3 linked regions of the Drosophila melanogaster genome follow. The protein of the gene in region 1 interacts with the protein of each later gene in a pairwise test. Each region holds a gene or a part of one and is shown in the gene's direction. Other genes may lie near its edges. The genes, in order: CG13917, Arp6 and Xrcc2.

Evidence for each region.
Region 2: the proteins of CG13917 (region 1) and Arp6 interact in a two-hybrid assay, tested with the Drosophila melanogaster proteins (one large-scale study listed by BioGRID).
Region 3: the proteins of CG13917 (region 1) and Xrcc2 interact in a two-hybrid assay, tested with the Drosophila melanogaster proteins (one large-scale study listed by BioGRID).

Annotation. Positions count from the first base shown.
Region 1 is NT_037436.4:1,573,205-1,581,025, forward strand, and holds the start of CG13917 (uncharacterized protein), read left to right. Parts: upstream 1-3,494; 5' UTR 3,495-3,927; intron 3,928-7,821. Other genes in the region: Tmep (transmembrane endosomal protein), read left to right, coding at 1-104, 342-416, 476-560, 1,784-2,067.
Region 2 is NC_004354.4:15,733,558-15,740,423, reverse strand, and holds Arp6 (Actin-related protein 6), read left to right. Parts: upstream 1-3,303; 5' UTR 3,304-3,390; coding exon 3,391-4,587; 3' UTR 4,588-4,650; downstream 4,651-6,866. Other genes in the region: CG8206 (uncharacterized protein), read right to left, coding at 446-1,021; CG11679 (uncharacterized protein), read left to right, coding at 1,598-2,860; MagR (magnetic receptor), read right to left, coding at 4,932-5,035, 5,103-5,180, 5,250-5,325, 5,818-5,871, 5,972-6,055; CG12379 (uncharacterized protein), read left to right, coding at 6,501-6,713.
Region 3 is NC_004354.4:18,495,479-18,501,769, forward strand, and holds Xrcc2 (X-ray repair cross complementing 2), read left to right. Parts: upstream 1-4,648; 5' UTR 4,649-4,703; coding exon 4,704-5,456; 3' UTR 5,457-5,780; downstream 5,781-6,291. Other genes in the region: Pgant7 (polypeptide N-Acetylgalactosaminyltransferase 7), read right to left, coding at 931-2,024, 2,467-2,943, 3,754-3,958.

The DNA of each region.
Region 1 (7,821 bases):
TTACCGTGGAACCCGGTACCGTCTCCGCCGGATACCAGAACTTCTTCATCTGCATCGAAATGCTGTTCGCCGCCATCGCGCTGCGCTATGCATTCCCCTATCAGGTGAGTTTTGGAATGTCGGAGTGGGCTAGATTTTACGCAGCTATTTACGATTTTTGGTGATTAGATAGTGCTGACTTGAGTGCTTTTTTTCGGTTATTTCGGTGTTTATTAAGCGGCTTTCCTTACACTTGTTAGATATGTGAAAGGTATTCGTGTAATGCTGACTTGGCTAGAAGAAATCAGCTAAAACGAAGTGCTTGCAGTAAAAATAACTTAAATGTTGTATGCTCTTTGTAGGTCTACGCACGCAGCTGCATCAGCGATGGCCACGGACGGTCTGTCACCATGCAGTCCATTTCCAGCAGTCTTAAGGTAAGCTGGAATATTTCCCTGGGAATTCCCGTATCTAAAACTCCCGCAATCCTTCGCAGGAAACAATGAATCCCAAGGATATTATGACAGATGCTATACACAACTTCCATCCGCAGTACCAGCAGTACACGCAGTACAGCTCAGGTTGGTTTTTACTCGCTTTCTCGTCTTTTTAGCCCAACTTCTTCTCTTTGTGCTCTGTGTCTGTGGCATGTTCGTTCTTTTCATCGAGCCTGCTTAACTTATCTTATCTCTTGTGTTCGTCGCTCTCATTTAATGCATTTCGATGCGAATTTCCATTACCATTTCCATTCCATTATCGTTATGTTTTTCACACTTTTGTTTTTCTTTCTTGTTTTCTTATCTTTTGCAGAAGTAACCTCGGCTCAGCGTTACGAAAAGCTCTAAATCAATATCAAAAGCAAAACTCTAGCGATGCTCGCTACTAAACACTAATTGCAATCACAATTCCACATTTCCGAGCGGGACGCGATCCGAAAGCGAAGCAAACAAGTGTACTTATAGCCCTAGCGCCTTAGCCCTAGCTTAATGCCCCACAGTATCCCCCGAAACCAAGCTCAGAGAGGAAGATACGTACTAGGCCTAGTTACTTACTTACTCACTCCACAAAACGCTGAAAGCTGAACAGAAATTAACTTAGCCAGTCCATTGAGTTCAGGGCTTTTAGAGTTGCCTCTGCGTCTGTGTTTCTGTATTTCCTACGTTTACACTCTACACCTAAACTTAAGCGTTTTTTAAAACAACTTATTTAGACGTTAGCTATGTACGAAACGAACTATAATATTGTACAATATTATGTATTTGTAAACAAAGATTTTATTATACTGTATGCAACAATGGCAGTCGCTGAACAGGATTCCCCATTCAAGCGATCTTCAAGCTAGTTTCCCCTCAGCATTTATTTACGTGTTTCCGTTTCGCTCAAAGATACCAAAAACGAAGTTTTTCCTTCTTTTATTTTGATTTCCCCTTTTGACCACCCTTTTGTGATAAGCTCTCGTCGTCCTTCTATTTACTTCTGTTTGTAAATGTTTAAACCAATTGTATAAAATATCTAAAATACTTAGCAATAAATGTACGATAAGCTTGACAACTGTTTGCCTCGCCTCGTTTTCTTCGTTGCATGTTTATTGGCCTCTTTCCAACTATATATATCATATATCCGTGCCTCGATTAAGATTTTTATCGTAGAATTAACTAATAACTAAAATCTTCAGTAACATACTTAATCGAGGAATGGTTGTGACAAGCATGGCATGATCTAATGTTTCTTGTTAATAAGTTAGACCCTCGATCTGTGTGACCCGTAACGATTAAGTCCATTCCCTCCAATGAAACCCGCACAGGTGGCAAGAATTCCCGCGGCATTCGCGTCTCCAGCTACGATCCCGACGATCCCAGCTCGGGAGCAGCAGCTGGAGGCATGCAGGCGTCGCAGCCCACCAGCGGTGGATACGATGCGGTGGCCACTGGACCAGGATCTGGCGGCAACGGCGGCAGCAACTGCATGGCCTCAAAGACGCTGGGCAACCAGAGGAAGTTCCAGCCCGGCGGCCAGCGGGTGGCGACCATCAGCCAGAACTACAACGAGAAGACCATGCTGCTGAGCAGCGACGATGAGTACCAGTAGAGGAATGGAGAGATCGGGATCGATGGTCCCACTTATTGTTAACAAAATCGAGTCTTTCGTTCGGATCCGATTCGATTCGTTTCGTTTGGTCTATCCAGTGTGCTGATTCTGTCGCTTGTACAATAATCTTAGGTAGCCTAGCCGAGCAGCATCACACGACCCATTGGGCGGAAGATTAAAGATAACGTAATGATATACCCTGTAAAGTGGGGTGTGTGTGGCTAGAGAAGTGTAGTCTATGGATAAGTTCAGTACAATTTTTTTATTTTAATGGATGCACTTCTGCTTTAACCAATTTGATGATTTATATAGAGAATTTTGAAGCATTATCTATAGACTACAGTGGTCCACCACCCCAATACGACTTAATCTGCGCAAAGGTATTTTGTAATTTTACACCGCATATGTAATTTGATTCGCTTTGATTCCATTTATCTTGTGTACATTTGTCTGACAATTCAATTGTAAAGCGAACCAAAAAAAAAAAAACTGAACAGAAATCAAAACTAGCGAAAACCGAACTGCAAATGCACTTCTTGCGTCTCACGAACCGTCTACAGGCTGCTTCTACAATAAACTGGCGGAAAAGCTGAGGAAAATCTACACACAAATATATTTATAAGCCAAGGCTAATTTTTAAAGCATACTTAACACAATACATAGCTAACCTATAGCGAATTCGTTAGTTGAATGAATGAGACCAGGTCCAGAAACCAGTTTCCAAGTAATAGGACTATTTCCGGGCCCGAAGTGTATAAAAGAATTTTACCCTGTACAGAGAAAACGAGGTGCTCCAGACCATTGGCTGAAATCGGTCTGAAATCGGTCGAGAACAGTATTTTGATATCTAGCCAGGCTTCCCATCAAATTACGTGTGTTTCTGGACCAGCGTGGTGACCGGAACCGGAAGCAGAGCGTAAGAAACGTAGGAAACGTCAAATTATGTATAATTATCGGGGGCAAAGTGAAGGAAAACCAAGGCAGCAACGTTTTTATGTACATTTTTTTCGTTATTAATATGAAATGAGAATAAAGTAAATGTCATAAAGTACTCTAAATCCATTTATGTATATAATATATCCAATGTTTTATTTATGATTGGTAATAATTATTGGTAAGTTAAGGTTTATAGTTTTTATAAGATGCGTTGGTTGTTCAAAAAGGCTTCTTTTGTTAATTATTGTATTCATTAAAGTAAAATTTTTGATTCATTTTAAAATTTAATTATTAAAACCGTTATGTTTAGCATTCAAATTGATCCATCTCTTGTTGCCACCTTTTTTATTGTACATTTAAGAAAGGGTTTAAGTCTGCGGTGGTGTAAGCACTTGGTATTGACGTGTCTAGGCTGAACGGTCCCTTTATCGCGCTCGCTAGTAACTTTGTACATTCCGGCTGCGGCCACACTGCAAAACCCCTTTAAACCGCAGGAATCGCTCGCGTTTTTTGTCGCGGCGTTAAATTTTTTAAAAGAAACCGAAAGAATATTTAACAGTGGACCTGCGAAAAGAATCGATTCGGCCGCGTTCTAAATCTAATGCCAATTGCCGCGATTATCGGCTTATTATTCAGAAAACAAGAGAAACACGCAAGCGAAAAAACGAAGTTGTGCGGAAAAACCAGTTTTCTTTTTGCCCAGCGAGCAGCAGCAGCAACAACAACAACAAGCGCGTAGTTAAAAAACAAGCTAAAATCCTGTTCAGTCCTGAATTAAATGCAACGCGCAAGAAATCAAAAGAAATATGCCAATGAAAGTGTCGTGCAATAAAGCAATAAATTAATCAAAAGAGGAGTACGAAAACGAGATTTTCCCCAGCGATTCCTGCGAACTAAGCTTGTTTTAACCGAACTAACTAAAACGTAAGTACAAGCCAAGTATATGTATACACACACAATCTTGTAAATCGCGGAGTTTTGCTGTTTTCGTGTGGGTTTTGCTATCTTCTCTCCTTTTTCGCCTCCTTTTTGGCCGCCTCTGCGAGTGTGTGTGCGTGTGTGTGTTGTGCAAATGGCAGGTAGAAAAGAAACGGTTGATAAAAAAATCTTTTCAAGGGCGGACGAGAAAAGTCTATTTTTAACCTCCTTTGTGGCTAATTTTATTCGCCATTTCGTTTGATTGCCCTCCGAAAATTAATAGTAACATTTTATGTAATTGGTGGAAGCGGGTGATGGCATGGCATCCCGAGGAAAAATCAATAAATCAGCGCCGCTGCAGCTGTGTTCTCGTCCTGCATGTGTATGCGTGGGCTGTTTTGGAGCCAGCAGGCGTGAATTGGGGTAGGAATCGGACCTCTCTCTCTCCCGCACACTCCGCCCTCTCTTTTATCCTTACCTCTCTCTCGCCTACCCACACATGCATACAGGCTTTTACTATCCGTGTGAGCCGCAAACAACAAATAAGCCGCTATAAGAAAAAAACGCGTATTTTGGCGGTCCCTCCGCCCACTTTTTCCCCCGCCTCCTCCCCAGTGCATTTTCCCCATGCAAACGAGAAAAATCAATAAGAAACCCACTTGGCCGTAAGAGCTGTGAAAATAAAAGTCATCTAAGACCGAATGCAAACATGGAAATCAGTTATTAACCCAATTTGCATATGCGAGAGCATCATCGCACGGACAAAAAGAGAAAATGCCAGCAACTATAGTTAATCAATCAAACCAACACGAAATTCTGCGAACCGCAAATTAAGTGACTCAGTCGAAATTCAAATGCCAACAGCTGTACGCGTTTAAATTTATACGCTTAGCGCACGCTGTTTCTGGACCCCGAGTCAAAAGAACCAAAAGCGTGGGCATTTCGATTTGGCCAAAAGTCAAGTGGCCAATGGACTTGCGGGGCTTCCTCTGCGTCACTGTTCCACTGCACTTCTTATCCTTATCTCGACCAAATACTACACTTCTCACATACAATGTACGTTTGCTCATATGGTAAATCACCTATCGATTGAAACTGGGAAATTGGGAAACCAGTATAACTGAGTGAAGCGGAAACTCCTAATTGTTTCTGGGAAAGTAGGTTGCCAAAGTTGCTATTTTTAGGATTCAGTAAATTTAGCGCCTTCCGCCAATCAATCAATGAGGCTCAATCAGTCTAGTGCCCCAAAAATGCCTACGGTATTACGACGGATATCACTTCATATCGGGGCGCCAGTAACGCGAGATTGTTTATGTTTACTTATCATAAGTATGAAAGTGCCAGTGTTATCTTTTCACTGAAACTTAGGTAAATAGGTAAATAGAAGTAAATTAAAGTTAGCAGCATTATCATTCATATGATTCATTGACATCATAAAATACAAATATTAATGGAAACTTTAGGATCCATTCTTTTACTAACAGAAAGATTCTTTTTCTTAACCATAAGTTTTAAATTAGATTCCTCTTGACCAGTGACCACTGTACATGAGGCACATGAGCTCATTTCCACCGCTGACCCAGAATTCGTTCTCCCTCTAATTCTCCTCAGCCACACTGTAATTTACAATAGTTCGCCAAGCCTCACTTACTTTAATTGTCGCATTTGTTGCGACCACACATGGTTTTCTTCTCAGTGTGTGTGCGAGCGGGATGCCGCAGCCATGACGCCATGTTGCGGGCTCCAGAATGGGAGTGCGAAAGAGACGAACGTAGAAGGGGGAGGTGAGCAAACAGCTGACACTTGACTCTCCGCACAAATGGCAATTACAAATGTTTTTACCGTTAGGGGGCGCAGCCACATGTAAATGAGTAAGTGAACGCTACCGACTTTTTACTTGTCTCCCGTTTTTCATTTCCATTTCCATTAGCGTACGAGCGACCAGAAGCGGAAAACAATGCAAAACATATTTTCAATTAGTTAATCAGTCGCAGTCCCAACAGCTGTCCGTATATGTGTGTGTGTGTGACAGTGGGAAAGATATGGGAAAGTGCGACCACCCTTTATAATCACTTGAGCTTGCAAGGCACAGCCATGTCCAACTAGTTAGTTCCCCACTCACAGATGTTTGGATTTATTGCCATGTAATTCCAGACATTTCATTTTGTTTTCAATAGTATAATGATGATTTGTAGTTCATGCCTAGTTTTTCGGATTTTATCATAGGTCTGAGATAAAACTCCTCGAATATATCAATAAACAGCCAGACTACTCTGTTTACTTATTACTTATACGCTAGCACTGTGAAAAGAAAACCCACGCACAAAACCCAAAATAAGCGGAGATAAGCTGTTGGGCAACCAAAATATCGTTTGCAGGCAGTGTTTACTGTGTTTGCTGTGCCCTCACCTACATTTGTACTGTTGTTTGCCGGTTGTTTGCTTGTTTGCCTTTGTTTGTTGCCTTTCGTTTGTTTGTGTGAAAGTGAGTCAAATGAGATACATATGCCTTCCTAGGCATGGGCCTACATACATACATACATACATACATACATACATGCCATACATATGTATGTACCAATTCCATTCCCCGATCCCCGAAAGCCATTCCCTAGTTCACCCACATTCCCCATTAGTTTCTGCCTTATCAGCAGTGTCTTCAGTCTGTTATTGTGTGTGGCGTACTTTTCCATTGAACTTTTAATGGCCGACCTGCAGCCGATTTAATTATTGAATTTATGGCTGTTTCGAATTCGGCGGTACACTACAAAAAATAAAAGCTGAGTAGTAAAATGCATTCGAGACACTTTCCGCTTCACATTTTTTGTTCGAAATTAAACGATATTATGCCTTTGCAACCAAATACTTTATAAATACATAGATAGATAGATACAACAAGTTAATTCTTTGCTCATTACTTTGCAATTCATTGGATGGGCAAACTTAATTAGCTGAATGGCACACATGTTGCAAATTAATTTGAGTTATGCACTGCCAAACGACGCCTTAATTGTCAACAGATTAGTTTCAGCCGGGTGTGGCTCCACTGCCCATTCGCCATGCCAAGTGCGCCTGGCGGGTGTGAGCAATTAGCCGGCTTCTCGGCGAGAATGCGTTGATCCCAGTTCCCAGTCGCTTGGCAAAAGTGTCACGCCAGCTCCGAACCCAAAGGGGAGATTGGGGGGTAATTAGTTTCCATCGAAATGCGGGGGATGGCTGCGATGGAGGAGGCTCATCACGTTCGACTGCCCAGATGCTAATCGCTCCTTGTGGCGAGCTATTTTTGGGGCACGCTTTGTTTACGTTTGGCCCCAGGCATTCGAGGTGGGCGTAGTTCTGTTTTTGGATGCCATATTTTTTTTTGGCACCATTCGCCGATTTTCGGGGCGTTAATAAGGGCGTGGGTGGCAGGTCAAGTTGGAGGGGCATGGGAATATTCTCTGCGTCCTCCACAAATTGAACGCAATTGGAGGCTGCAATTGGTGTGTAAATTATGCAACAACAGCAGCAGCAGCTCCATACATCAATCAGTTCATAAATCAATCATTCTCCCGAGACTCGAAACTTACGGCCAATTGAAGCCAATCAAAATGGGAGTCTCGATGTGACCAAATTCAATAAACGCATGTTTATGGCCATAACGTATGATTATGATTTATGTGCCAATTCGACATTCGAACGGGAAAAATGCAATTCCACGCAAATAACCTTCGGTGGCACATACGATTTTGCGCAACGCGAAAATCAATTTTCAATTTGCATGCCGAAAAAAAAATGATTAAACAAATACAAATTGAGAGTGATTTTCGCGTGCAAAATTATGCAAATTAGATATGTAAGGTGGGGTCATTCAAAGCCAAAGAGAAACCGAAATTCCACTTGAGGCCAAAAACAATGGGGT
Region 2 (6,866 bases), on another chromosome or scaffold:
TAAGATAGGCACGGCGTATATTGACAAAAATTGATGGCTTGTAGCCAAAACTTGATGATTGTACATATACATATGTATTTTAACATTTATATCAACAATGAGACATTTTTCTTTCTGTGCACCCTGATTAGATAGTCTACAGCGGAATAACAGATTTAGCCATATACAATGTTTGTTTTTTGCTTTTGAACTGGTCGTTCCTTTAATCACTTTTTTAGGCATTACTCACGGCCCGAAACAATCAACAATTACAGTACAATTATTATATACAGCCGTCTGAGCTCGGAAACAGAATGTGGGATTCCGGTTTGCAGTTGGGTACTTGGGTGCTTGGTTGCTTGGGTTCAATGTGCCACCCCGTGTCGAGTGTGTCCTCCTCAGACACGATTCGCAGGTTGACGGCACCAGGTTCTCACCTCTACTGATGCCCCTTTGACTAGAGTTCCTAAATCAGCTCGCCGCGCTCGTTCACCTTGATCACCCGGACGCGGGCATGCCGGTCGGCCAGCACCTGGTCGATATTCTTGCTGGTACTGATTCCAGAGCTAATGCTGCTATCGCCATCGCTGCCGGTGAACAGTCCCAGATTGTCCTTGATCAGATGGTCGACGGCACAGCCGTCGCACTGTAGGATCACCACGCCGCTGTAGTAGGCCTCTTCGCTGATGGTCTTCGTGTTGCGGGTGTTGCACAGCTTGCAGCGGTACACCAGCTCCATGCGGCGTTGCATGCGTCGGAAGCGCTTCAGTGTCGTCGGCGACAGAGAGCCATTCGCCTGGTTTCCGGACGTGGAGCCTCCCAGGTCAAACTGCTTGGCCGTGAAATGGCACGCATCGAGTATGGAGCGCGGTATGGAAAGCGGTGCTGGACGCGACGATTTTAGGTGCTGCTCGGCATCGTTGGTTAGCGGCACGGCGTCCACCGCTTGTTGCTGCTGGGTGGCGTTGAGGATCGCGTTTTGTCCATTCTGGCGCAAATAGTTGAGAGTTCGCGATGTGAAGATGTTGCGCAATGCGTTCATTTTATGTTGCTACTAAGCGGTGTTGCACATCCGCGTTGCTTTCTGCTCTTGCCGCCCGCTGCAGTGCGTCCTGAATTCTGGCGCCGCACGTGCTGAATGTGGGGTAGTTACTGCGTTTTGTTTTGCCCCAAATGGGGAAGAAAATGGTTAAGTGGAGCGATGAAAACAGCTGATGGCTATCGTTATCGGAGCAGTGCAGGCGGTTGGCCGCTTAAATTCAGTTCTCACATTTTGGCTATTTTGTATCCAGGTTCAGTAATTTGTCTCTATTGGCAGAAGTTTATGTAGTATGAGTTGAAGACTCGTTACAGCATTTCAAAAAGCAAATAACAGAATTTCAACTACCAAATTTGTAGTATAAATACCAAGCAATAATGAAAATTCATAGCTTAGAAATAACTAACGGCCGAAGAACCGAGTTCACCACTGAGTGCCTATCGGATTCGATAATCACAACAAAAGGCAATCGGAGGCCGGCTACTATATTATATAGCCACCAGATACGATTCGTTACCAAACCGATCTCAACTCCCAGAAATGGGCCACTAATTGCTGCTGGAGCATAAATCAAAAGCCATGAACTTTGCACGCCTGAGATTCGGGCAGATGGTCCTTGGAGGACTTCGAATTCCGCGCCAGCAGACGCAGACGCAGTGGATGATGGACCGCCGCCGATGGTTGGCCAGTGAAGCCACCTCATCGGCTGCGGCGCCAGCTCAAGCAGCTTCTGTACCTAGAACTCAAACGCAACCGCGGGTAAAGCCATTGCCGCTAGCCGAGGAGCGCTTGGAGTCGATACTATCGCCCATTCGCACCAGGATCATTCGAAAGAAGCGCTTGGCCATCGATGAACTGTCCGCTTTGGGGTTTCTCAACACCCGTGGTTATACGACCGCCGAGGAGTACAATCTGGAGGATCTGCAGATAGCCCTCCGCGAACAGAACCTGTACGAGACGAAGCGTTTCTTCTCCACAGACAATCTGGACGTGGAGCAGAATGTGCTCTTTGTGGCGGCCAAATATCCGACGGGTCAGCAGCCGCGGGAGATATTCTTCTTCCGCGAGGGCTCGGTGGTCTTTTGGAACTGCAGCGACATCGAGACGAACAATGTGCTAAGTTTCCTGCGCGCCTTCGAAAGGGAATCGTATGTGAGTGCCCTGGTTCACGGGGAGAGCGAGGTGATGCCCTACACCTACATTCCATCGACGGCGGTGGATGTGGAGGGCGATCTGGTGGCGGAGAGCAGCGACTTCAATGTCACGTCACGGGCATTCTTCCAGAATGGCAAGTTCTTTGTTACCGCCGATACGGATAGTTTCCTGTATAAGTACACCTTCTCCAATGCGATGGCACAGTCAATAAAGCTGGGCATGTGGGAGGCGACACTGGACCGCTACATAGACTCCATAGAGCATCTCACCGAGGATCTAAAGCGTGGTCGCCGATTAAGAATCTCGCGGGCGGCCATGCTGCGAAAAACCGGTGAATTATTTGCCCTGCGTCATGTGATCAACCTGTCGTCGGATCTGCTGGATGCACCCGATTTCTACTGGGACCGCGAGGAACTGGAGGCACTCTACCTGCAGGTGTGCTCCTACTTCAGCATCTCACGGCGCACCAAGGTGATGAACGAGAAGATCAACCACTGCGTGGAACTGGCCGAGCTGGTGTCCCACAATCTGAACGATGCCCATCATATCCGGCTCGAGTGGATGATCATAATCCTGATCATGGTAGAGGTGGGCTTCGAAGTGCTGCACTTCGTCAGCGATCACAGTGATTCGCATAAGCTAGAGGTCCTGCCACTGGCTGCTCCTGCCGCCTCGATTCCCAATTAGCAAGTAGGCTTGGTCGATAGTTTTTTGTACTATATTTGTATTTTGACGAAATATAGAATTGTTAGCGTTCCAAAAGTTTGTTTGATCTGTGCTCTATTTTTTTTTTGTCCTTTTTAATTTGTTGTTGCCCGTTAAAAACACCAAACATTACGATTTTAAAATTCTCACTAGATCCAATTTAAAAAAATGGCTAGATTAATCGACAGCACTAAAGCAGACGAAGTGTCATTTCTTTTCCTCTGTCGAAAAATGCTATAGATCTACATCGAGAATATTATAATTTTATTGTATGTGTATTTGTATTTTGCTGAAATATAGAATTATTAGCATTCCAAAAAGTTGTTTCTTGTGTTTTCATTTTGTTTTTGTTTTCCTTATTTAATTTGATGTAGACCGTTAAAACACCAAAAATAACGATTTTAAAAATCTCGATAGATTGAACAAATTAATCGACAGCACTAGAACAGAAGAAGTGTTGTTTGTTGTCCTCTTCCGAAAAATGGTATAGATCTACGTTGAGGACGAAAAGGATGGCCAACGCTGTGGTGGTGTTGGACAACGGAGCGCATACGGCGAAAGTGGGCCTGGCCAATCAGGATGAGCCCCATGTGGTGCCCAACTGCATCATGAAAGCAAAGAGCGAGCGGCGACGCGCTTTTGTGGGAAATCAGATAGATGAATGCCGGGACACATCGGCGCTCTATTACATTCTGGCGTTCCAGCGCGGCTACCTGCTCAACTGGCACACACAGAAAACGGTGTGGGATTACATATTCAGCAAGGACGGCATTGGTTGTTCGCTGGAGAACCGCAATATTGTCATCACTGAGCCGCAGATGAACTTCCAGAGCATCCAGGAGGCAACGCTGGAGATTCTGTTTGAGGAGTACAAGGTTGATGGGGTGTACAAGACCACTGCTGCCGATCTGGCTGCCTTTAACTATGTGGCTGACAGCGAGGAGCGGACTACAATGGAATCGCTTAACTGCATCATCATCGATGTAGGCTACAGTTTCACCCACGTTGTTCCTTTTGTGCTGGGACGGCGCGTTCTCCAAGGCATACGACGCATCGACATGGGCGGGAAGGCGCTGACCAACCAGCTAAAGGAGCTAATCTCTTATCGCCACCTAAACGTCATGGACGAGAGTCATGTAGTTAACCAGATCAAGGAAGATGTCTGCTTTGTGGCGGAGGACTTCAAGCAGGCGATGCAGGTGCATTATTCGGAGGAGAAGCGACGCGAAGTCACAGTTGATTATGTCCTTCCAGACTTCACCACCGTCAAACGGGGCTATGTTCGTGTTCCCGGAAAGCCGCGCGAGGATGAGGAGCAACAGCAAATGGTGTCGCTGTGCAATGAACGTTTCACCGTGCCCGAGCTGCTCTTCAATCCCTCGGACATTGGTGTGCAACAGGTGGGCATTCCGGAAGCGGTGGCCGATTGTCTGAAGGCTTGCCCCTGGGAAGCGCACCGCGAACTCCTGCTCAACATCCTTATTGTGGGCGGCAGTGCCCAGTTTCCGGGATTTCTGCCGCGCCTAAAGCGCGATTTACGTGCCCTGGTGCCCGACGATCTTGAAGTGTCACTCATCTGTCCCGAGGATCCGGTGCGGTACGCGTGGTACGGCGGCAAGGAGGTTGCGACCAGCCCCAACTTTGAAGAGTTTGTTTACACGCAAGACGACTACGAGGAGTACGGTTTCCAGGGTATCAATCAGCGGTAACATGCACGTAGTCGAAGTATTTTTTCAATAATAAACTTGATTTGCACATGGGTTTTCTAGAACATTCCTTGTCTATATATTGAACTAGGGCTAAAGAGGACAAACTGCCAGCCTGCGGCAAGGAAGCGGGTGCGTCACTTACCTAGCGCTACAACTAAAATTTAACTATAGAACACAACTTAATATTTAGAATTCGTTTGCGAAGTAAAATTTACAAAGGATGCGGTGCTTTTGCCAACAACGTAATGAGATACAAGGTCGGGCCGCGTACTGCATTTAACTTAGTTAATTTAGGTCTGTCTGCGAGGCGGGTGCCGGCGGATCTCCTCCGGATCTCCATCGGTTTACATGCTGAACGATTCGCCGCAGCCGCATGTGCCCTTAATGTTCGGATTGTTAAACACGAACTCGCTGGACAGCTTCGATTCCACAAAGTCCATCTCGGTACCTGCAAGCGAATTATACTCTGTATTAGCTGGCTTGTCCAATGCTATGCTAAGCTGGTATGAACTTACCCAGCAGCGACAACTGCGCTTTCTTGTCGATGAAGACCTTGACGCCATCCTGGACCACCTCCTCATCCAACTTGTCTGCTGGCAAAAATCGACACAGAACGCAGCATTAGATCTCCACCGAACAACATTCTGTCCAGAGTGGCTTACCTTTTTGGCTGGCATAGTCCAGCGTGTAGGACAGACCATTGCATCCTCGCTGCCGTACGCCCACCTTTAGGCCAACCTGTGGCAGAAACAACATCGAATTTCTGTCATTAACTGTGTGGCTAATTTATAGGCAGCCTTGTTTATTGACCAAAGACAAAGAACTCGGTATTCTAATAAGTCTGTCTCAATTCAAAGAATTTAATCACTTAAAAACTAAATGATTAACAACAAGATAAACATGCTCATCAAAATTTGGTCGGGTCAAAATTTGGAAAATCTAGCTGATTAACGCAGGCCGAATTAGTTAGCATGGCTTATATTTATAGCTAATAATTTGCGCTAAAATATATGACTGACTGAGGAAAAAGCCTATTGTCAAATATAATGCTTGAAGAAGCCCTCTTGCGAACTTCCTATACTCCATGCAACCAGTGCTAAAACTTAAATAACATGCACGGGAACCTTTAAAGAGCTAGGCGAGATTATCAAGATCTCAATCGTGGAAGGCGATAGAATGCCCACTAAAGTGTAGCCTTGGTTCGATGACAACTTGTCAGCAGTCACTCACCATGTCCGGCTTGTCCTGCAGAAGCGTCTTGATGCGTAGCACCGCCGCGGGTGTCTGAAAAGGATTGGGGGAGATCAGAATCATCAGATCGAAGGGGACTGTTACTTCATCAGCAGCAGCATGCGCCGATTTCACCAGGTTTTGGTTTCCTTACCAGAGTCAGAGCGGCCCGCGTCGGGATTAACTTCCGGCCTTTCACCGCCCGCACTGTCGCCGTTGCCACCACACGTGTCGCCATCGGTTCGTGCCCTTTATATAATTTGTTTGACTCGAGAATTTCCACAAAAAAAATTCGAAAATATGAGTGCTTACTACCAGATGGTCGATAGTACTGTCGATAGTATCACGTGAGATGGCATTAACAGATGTCATCGATTGGCAGTGTCACGGGATAGCGGAGAAACGGTTACTACCTGTTTGAAAAATAAGTTATTTTTAAGCCCCAGAGTCCAGGTGGACTTCATTAATAACTTAACTTAATATTTCACAGTAGAATTTATATTAACAATTGGTTTTAATGTCTGTGAGTTACAGCAAATTTTATCAGCACCAGTGACAGCTATAGTAACTTTTTAAAATCGTGACTCGCGACTAGTTTTGAAATGAAAGGAGGTGCCATCTCTAAGTTTAAATGAATTTCACACTTTTCGATTGAGTTAAATAATATCAACAAAATCGAGGATATGTCCGCCCTAAAAAAATTTTATAAAATCAGCGCAGGTGTGAGAAGAGGCGCACTACTTACCAGTTCCCGAAGAACACAAATTGATGCTTTAAATAGTCCACAATTGCAGTTGCAAGTGCATCACTTTGCAACCAAAACACAAACAGCTGTTTTTAGCAGCAGCAACAACTACACGTGCATTTGCCGCAGTATACACTGCAGTAAGCCAGTGGTATGTTTGGAAATCAGTTGTAAATACAAATAAACTACCCAATTGATATTAAATAATGTTATTTACATTTGTAATTTAAAATATTATAAATGGAATGCAATATTTAAAATTATGTATAACAAAAAAGTTAAGTATAATTATTTTGCTCTGCTC
Region 3 (6,291 bases), on another chromosome or scaffold:
GAATGTGGCAGCGTTGAAACTAAGCTAGGATTAGTTGGACTTGCAGGAGTATAGACTAAGGTTAGTACATTCATTTTTTCAGTTGGCAATCATAAAGCAAAACAATCTGCGGCCCTGTCATCGCGTCCCGTTCCCGTTTCATAAATCCTCTATTGCACTCGACTCGCCATCCCGCCATCGCGCTATCTCGCTCTTATTCGCTTCCGCTCTATACCCATCGCATTCTCTCACTCATACGCAAGGACACACACACACGAGGTCGGCACGGAAATCCCCCAGGCTTGGATCCTCCCAAATATCAATTGAATATCTATTGTATGAGATTCGCCGATCGAAATGGGAATGGGTTCACTATCAGCTAATTGTGATGATTTTCGTACGCTCTGCACTAAGTGCATTTTGTGGAGTTTGATCTTTCGTGACAAAAGTGGAAAACAGTTTTCAAGTACGACTACTACTAACACACACACACGATTTTGAAAATTGCATTCACTTCATGCACTACAAATATGGTCTAAAAGCAATTGTTCTAATGCTTACATGGAAATACAATTGTTCGCGATTCCTTACGACATTGTTTTACAAAATCGAAATTCTTAAGCTTTAATAATTTAATAATATCCTTGTGGATTTATTTATTCGCCGAGCATTGAATGCCCTTGTCTGAATCCCGGTTGCCCAGGCGATTTCCAAGTGCCGACAGTGCATATGTACATACAGTTCGCGTCATAAATGCAGATGTGTGTGATATCTTGTGTTTTTCGTGTGTATATCAATACTTATATGCGTTACAAAACCAACAACAATTCCATTTCTCATTTTCACTAAATTGCTTTTGTCTAAAATATCGCCCCCGTTGCCCCGGCTGAAACCCTTGTGATCCATTCCTTGATCCTCCTCCTCCTGCTGCTCCTCCCAAACATGCTGGACTTACCAGCGTGGGCGTATCTCCTTGAACCACCACTGCTGGTAGCTATCGTTAACATCGCAGTGACCCAATGACAATTGCTGCGTGGCCGGATGCAGGGCCATGCATTTCTTGTGGACGCGATGCATCAGGTGCTTCGTGTGCTCGTTGTACTGCCAAGGACCGTCGACTGTCCCCAGACGACACACGGCCAGTTTGATGCCCTGCCGATCGGCCTCCACGCAGCGCTCGCCGACGCCCAACTGGCCAGCGGCATTGAGCCGAACCAGTTGATTATTTCCGCCTCCATGGCAGTATGTGAGGCCCATGATGGCCGGCGGCTGGTGGCCCATCGAGTCCAGGCATCCGTCGGAGGCCACCGAGCGCAGCTCGCCCCAGTGCAGGTTGGCCGGCAGACCCGGGAACTTGTCGTACACATCGTAGGCGATGTGGTCCATGAACCACTGGAAGCTCTTGCAGTTCAGTCGCTTCTTCAGCGCCAGTTGCTCGCTAATGTCGCCCATGTCCAGGTAGCGGGCAAGCGGCTCGCGCGTATAGAAGTACTCCTTGTGCGTGTCGTCGAACCACGTCTCGATGACGCGCTTGTAGTTGATCGTGATCAATGGACCCTTCTTCTTGCTAGCCAGTTTGCCGAAATTGTAGGGCATAAAGCCGCGATAGACGTGACCCACGCGAGAGCATGGCACCCACTCGATGCTGCCGCCACACTGCCAGATCTTGAAGCTCAATTCGAAGTTCTCGCCGCCCCAGACCAGCAGACCCGGATCGTAGGCGCCCAGCTCCAGGAAGTACTCCCTATTGATGGCGAACAGGCCGCCGGCGTGCGTGGGACTGCGATAGGGTTCCGAGTTGTGAGCACGGCGGCGCTGCTCGCGACGTGGCACCTCGTTCTCCTTGTACAGCATGCCCCATTCGAAGATGCCGCGGAAGTGGTTGTCCGTGCCATAAACCGGCCGGTACTCAAAGTTCTTGTGGTCAATGCCATCGATAATGGGCACTGTCATCACAGTGCGATCCCGGTAGATGGGCGCCAGCAAGGGCGGCAGCCAGTTGGTGTTTACCTCGCAATGGGCGTCCAAGAAGACGATCACCTCACCTGCGGGATGCAAAGCAGTTTAGTGTTTGTGTGGATATTTATAAGGTTGTGGGTTAATATGATGATTTAAAGGATGATGCTTTAAAATAGTAATTTGTAAATTTCTATGCATACTGTTTATGCTAAAAGGCTTGTTTGAAATCGACGATAATCTTGCTTCAATTGCAATGATAGGCAATTCTATTATGCTGAGAAAATGTAAAAGAAATTCAATGAGTCTGCAGTTTAAAGGTTTATCATTGCCACAAAGCGGAACGTGAAGTTATCTTCAATTCAAATTCCAAATAGCTGGCGTTTCAGCGTTTGATGCAAACATCTCAAGATAAAACTATTGTTTTCCATACAACACGTTCTTTTAACTATGCGATAAGCCGTCATGAGTTATGCAAGTTATGCAAGAACACATAACAATATACATAAATGAGATATGGGCTATACGCACCTGTAGCCTCCATGGCTCCCCTGGATCTCGTTCGGATGAGACCTTCGCGCTCCTTGTTCCTGATGACCTTGACCAGCCCCTTGAACTGCAGCACATACTCGTCCAGCTGGCTGCGCAGGTTCTCCTTGTCGGAGAAGTCATCCACCAGGATGATCTCGTGCAGCATGTGCGTGGGCGAACGATCGATGACCGAGTGCACGGTGCGCATCAGCACCGAGAAGCCCTCGTTGTGGAAGACAATGATGACGCTCGTGCGCGGCAGATCGAAGGGGTAGTCCCAGTGGCGGCACTCTTCGAGCCGCGTGTCCCGCACCGATCGGTGCATCGATATCTCATCGGAGCAGGCGATGTTCATGCCGTACTCCATCTCGGAGGCGTCCGACATGTGCTTCTTGTCCGGCGACAGGCTGTGGGCCTCGCCATTCTCGCCAGGCCCGCTACGTGGCTTCACATCTTTCGGCTCAAAGTTGCCAAGGCCTGAAAAACGCAAAAACAAATTGTGAGTGTGGCGCGTGCAAATTACCTATGCAAGCTTACAGCAATTGTTTAAATATTGGCCCAGCCACTCACTGTATGCGCTTGCAGGAGGTGTGGGTTATAATTTCAGACTTATGCATAAAGGCGGGGTATTACAGACCAATAATATGCCATCATCTAACCATCTTATGGTCATATGGAATATTCTACGACTAGAATTAGCATTTGATACAAAAGACTAAAGACACACTAGTTTTGGTGGCTGTGCAGTAAAAATGACTTTTATGAGGTTATTTTCTCACTCTATCCGAATTTGATAGTTGGTTGGTTAGGGCCATTACAAAGCCGGTTTTGGAGAATGTATAATAGAATGCGATAAATATTTGAAATGGGCTCGTAAGTTAGACTGGGAATAGACTGTACGATATGGGTTGGAAAAGGTTATCCTTTAACCTCCAACCATACTTTACTCACGCTAAACGTGGTAATAAAGACTTCTTTGAATACTATGTAGCATACATGGCAAGTAATTAATTGGTTAAAACGAGCAAAAGCCGGTTTTAAGTGATATAAAGCAAAGATTACTGAATTCTTTAGCTGGGTTTGCAGTAAGCAAACAACTCGGTCTTTTCAACAATGATATGGTAACTACTCTGTATCCTTAGTTCTGATGATAGTCCTCCATAATAAAATTGTATAATACGTGAGTGAGGAATCTTAATGGCAAGGCTCACGTTATGGGTGACACAATCCTATTCTTTATCCTGGTCAAGGGCTGATATTGCTATCCTCGATCCTGTAGCCACTTACCATCGACCAGCTTGGGCACCTCCCTGGGCCTGCCCTCCAATCGCTGGTGGGCGAACTTGGGTCCGCCGAAGCGCGTGTGATACGCCTCCTGGACGCGCTTGTGGTGATCGCTCCAGTTGGCCAGCAGATACAGCAGCGGCAGCAGTACCAGCAGGCACAATGCCAGCCGGCAGATCCGACCGCTGCGGATGGTGCTCACGCGCATCTCTCCCTAATTCCGATTCCGATGCCCAGTTCCAGATTCCAGTTACAAAGTTCCAAATCTGTTGACGTGTCTAGGTGGCCAGAAAGAAAAAGCACGGCGCGGGAGACGGGAAGCGGTAAGCGGGGAGCGCGGAAAGGTGGCCACAAAGCAGAAAGAGAACAAAAGAACCACTTTTGGTTCGGATTCGAGATGCCGCTGAATGATCAAAGGCGCCCCGCCGATAATGACAATTACAAGTGCTGGGGCGAGAAGCTAACTGGAGTACACCAGCTCGTCCGCCTGAGTGATGCTTTAACTCGGTGCGGAGCAACTTGCCGGCGAAAAAGCGCCGCTGGCTTTGAGCAAATTGCGAGTGCAGGTGCACGAATATTCGCGGTGCAAACGTAAACAAAAAATGGTAGAAAACGATGTTCAACTGGTAAGAACGCGTTATGCCGTTTTTTCTATCATCGCCCAGGCGTTAGGGCTAAATTAGGCACCAGCAGCGATAGGCGGCTGGGCGATAACACAGGGTGGTGAAAATGGATTTTTTTTATGTATGTGCGCAAATAAGTCTAAATGCTAACTGAAAGTTATAACGAAACGCTTGCTGCTGTTGTTTAACTATTCGATATGCCCTAGTTCCATTTAGTGTTAAATATGTTTCAGCGCTGCGCAATTCAACTTTAGGTGGCTGTCATCGATAAAGGCCACAATCGATAACTCCTTTGTTTATGCCAGGGCGCAAATTTGTAAATTTAACCTAATGGGCTCACATCAACTCCACTTTGCCGTTTTTGGCTCCTGCGGCTTTGAAGCCGATACGCTGGTGGAGATCTCCGGCCCAGGGAACAGTGGCAAAAGCCTGGTGCTCCAACAGTTGGTGGCCCACTGCCTGGTGCCCTACAAATTCGGTGGTCGCCAGTGGAGCGTCCTGCTGATCAATCTGAGTCACAAGATCAACCGTGAATCTCTGGCCAAGAGCATTAGGATGGAGCTGAAGGCGTACTCTGTCGGCGAAGTGATTGCTGCGAAATGCCCCACGGAGGAGCAGCTGGCCGAGATTGCGGGCGAGTGCATGAGTCGCGTGCGATTCCTCAACTGTTTTGCAAACGATGATGTTTCCACGTCGCTAATCGACGCCCGCTACGCGATCATCAATGATCCTGGCATACAATTGGTTGCCATGGACACACTCAGCGAATTCTACTGGCTAGATGAGCCTAAGATTGCCAAGAGAATGTCCATGTATCGCCACTATCGATTGCTCCAGGCGCGCCTGGAGAAGCTCTGCAAGGATGCCATCGTCTGCGGCATGTACACGGTGGAGTCTGCCTTTCTGGAGAATCGTTTTGGCGAAAACTTGCCCGAGGCTGGCATAAAGTACCATGTCAGGATGCAGAAGATTCAAAACCAGATCCTCTTGAATGGACTGCCGCTGTCGTTTAGCAATGGAATTCATTTGGATACAAATACTAGCAAGGAAATTACTGAGGCATTGCTGACTCAGCCCAGTTAACATAGTTAAATTATTATTATTAATCTTAGGACAAAATGATGCTAGGAACTGAAAGAAGTAAACGATTGTATATAGAGTATATAGAGTTGATTAAATTGTATATAGAGTTGATAGGTTAAGAAAATTGTATATAGTTTAACAATTTAACTTTAATAATATCTTCCTTTTAGGGATTAGAAATTATATTTGTTATTACTCCTTTATTAGACAATTTCAAGGCCTATGAGTGAGAAAGTAATCTGTGCAACTAATTAAGTTAAAAAAAAGGTATAACTTCTACATTATCTAGATAGTTACGAACTCAAATATACTTTAATTTCCGTGATATCTTCCTAGTTTTACCCGCTCGAACAAAGAAAATTATAGTCCATATAGATCTAGAAGGAAAGTTCGCTTTTATGACTTATTCCATTCAGTAATATATTTAATATTATATATCAGTAATATTATCTTAATTAAAAAAAATACAACAGTTCTTTAAAATTGTGTTGAAACCTTCACTATGTTCTTTTTTTGTTTTTGAAGAAGGCCAACCCTACCAGAATTATACTTAAAACTAATGATTTCTAAAAGCTATACATAAGTAAGGTGGTTTTGTTTAGCAGTTTTTTTTTTCGTTTTCGTTTTCCTTTTTTATCGTTTTCTTAGCATTTTAAGAAGAAGCAATATGATGGTGTATGGTAATGGCAATTAAAATGGAGAGGAGGGGGGGGGGGGGGGCTTTTTAATGTTATCCGCCGATTGATTTTGGTAGTGCTTAAAAGCCGGTAAATTAGTAAAAATTATTATTAAATACAATCATTAATTTAAATGTAATTTCAATAAATAATTATCT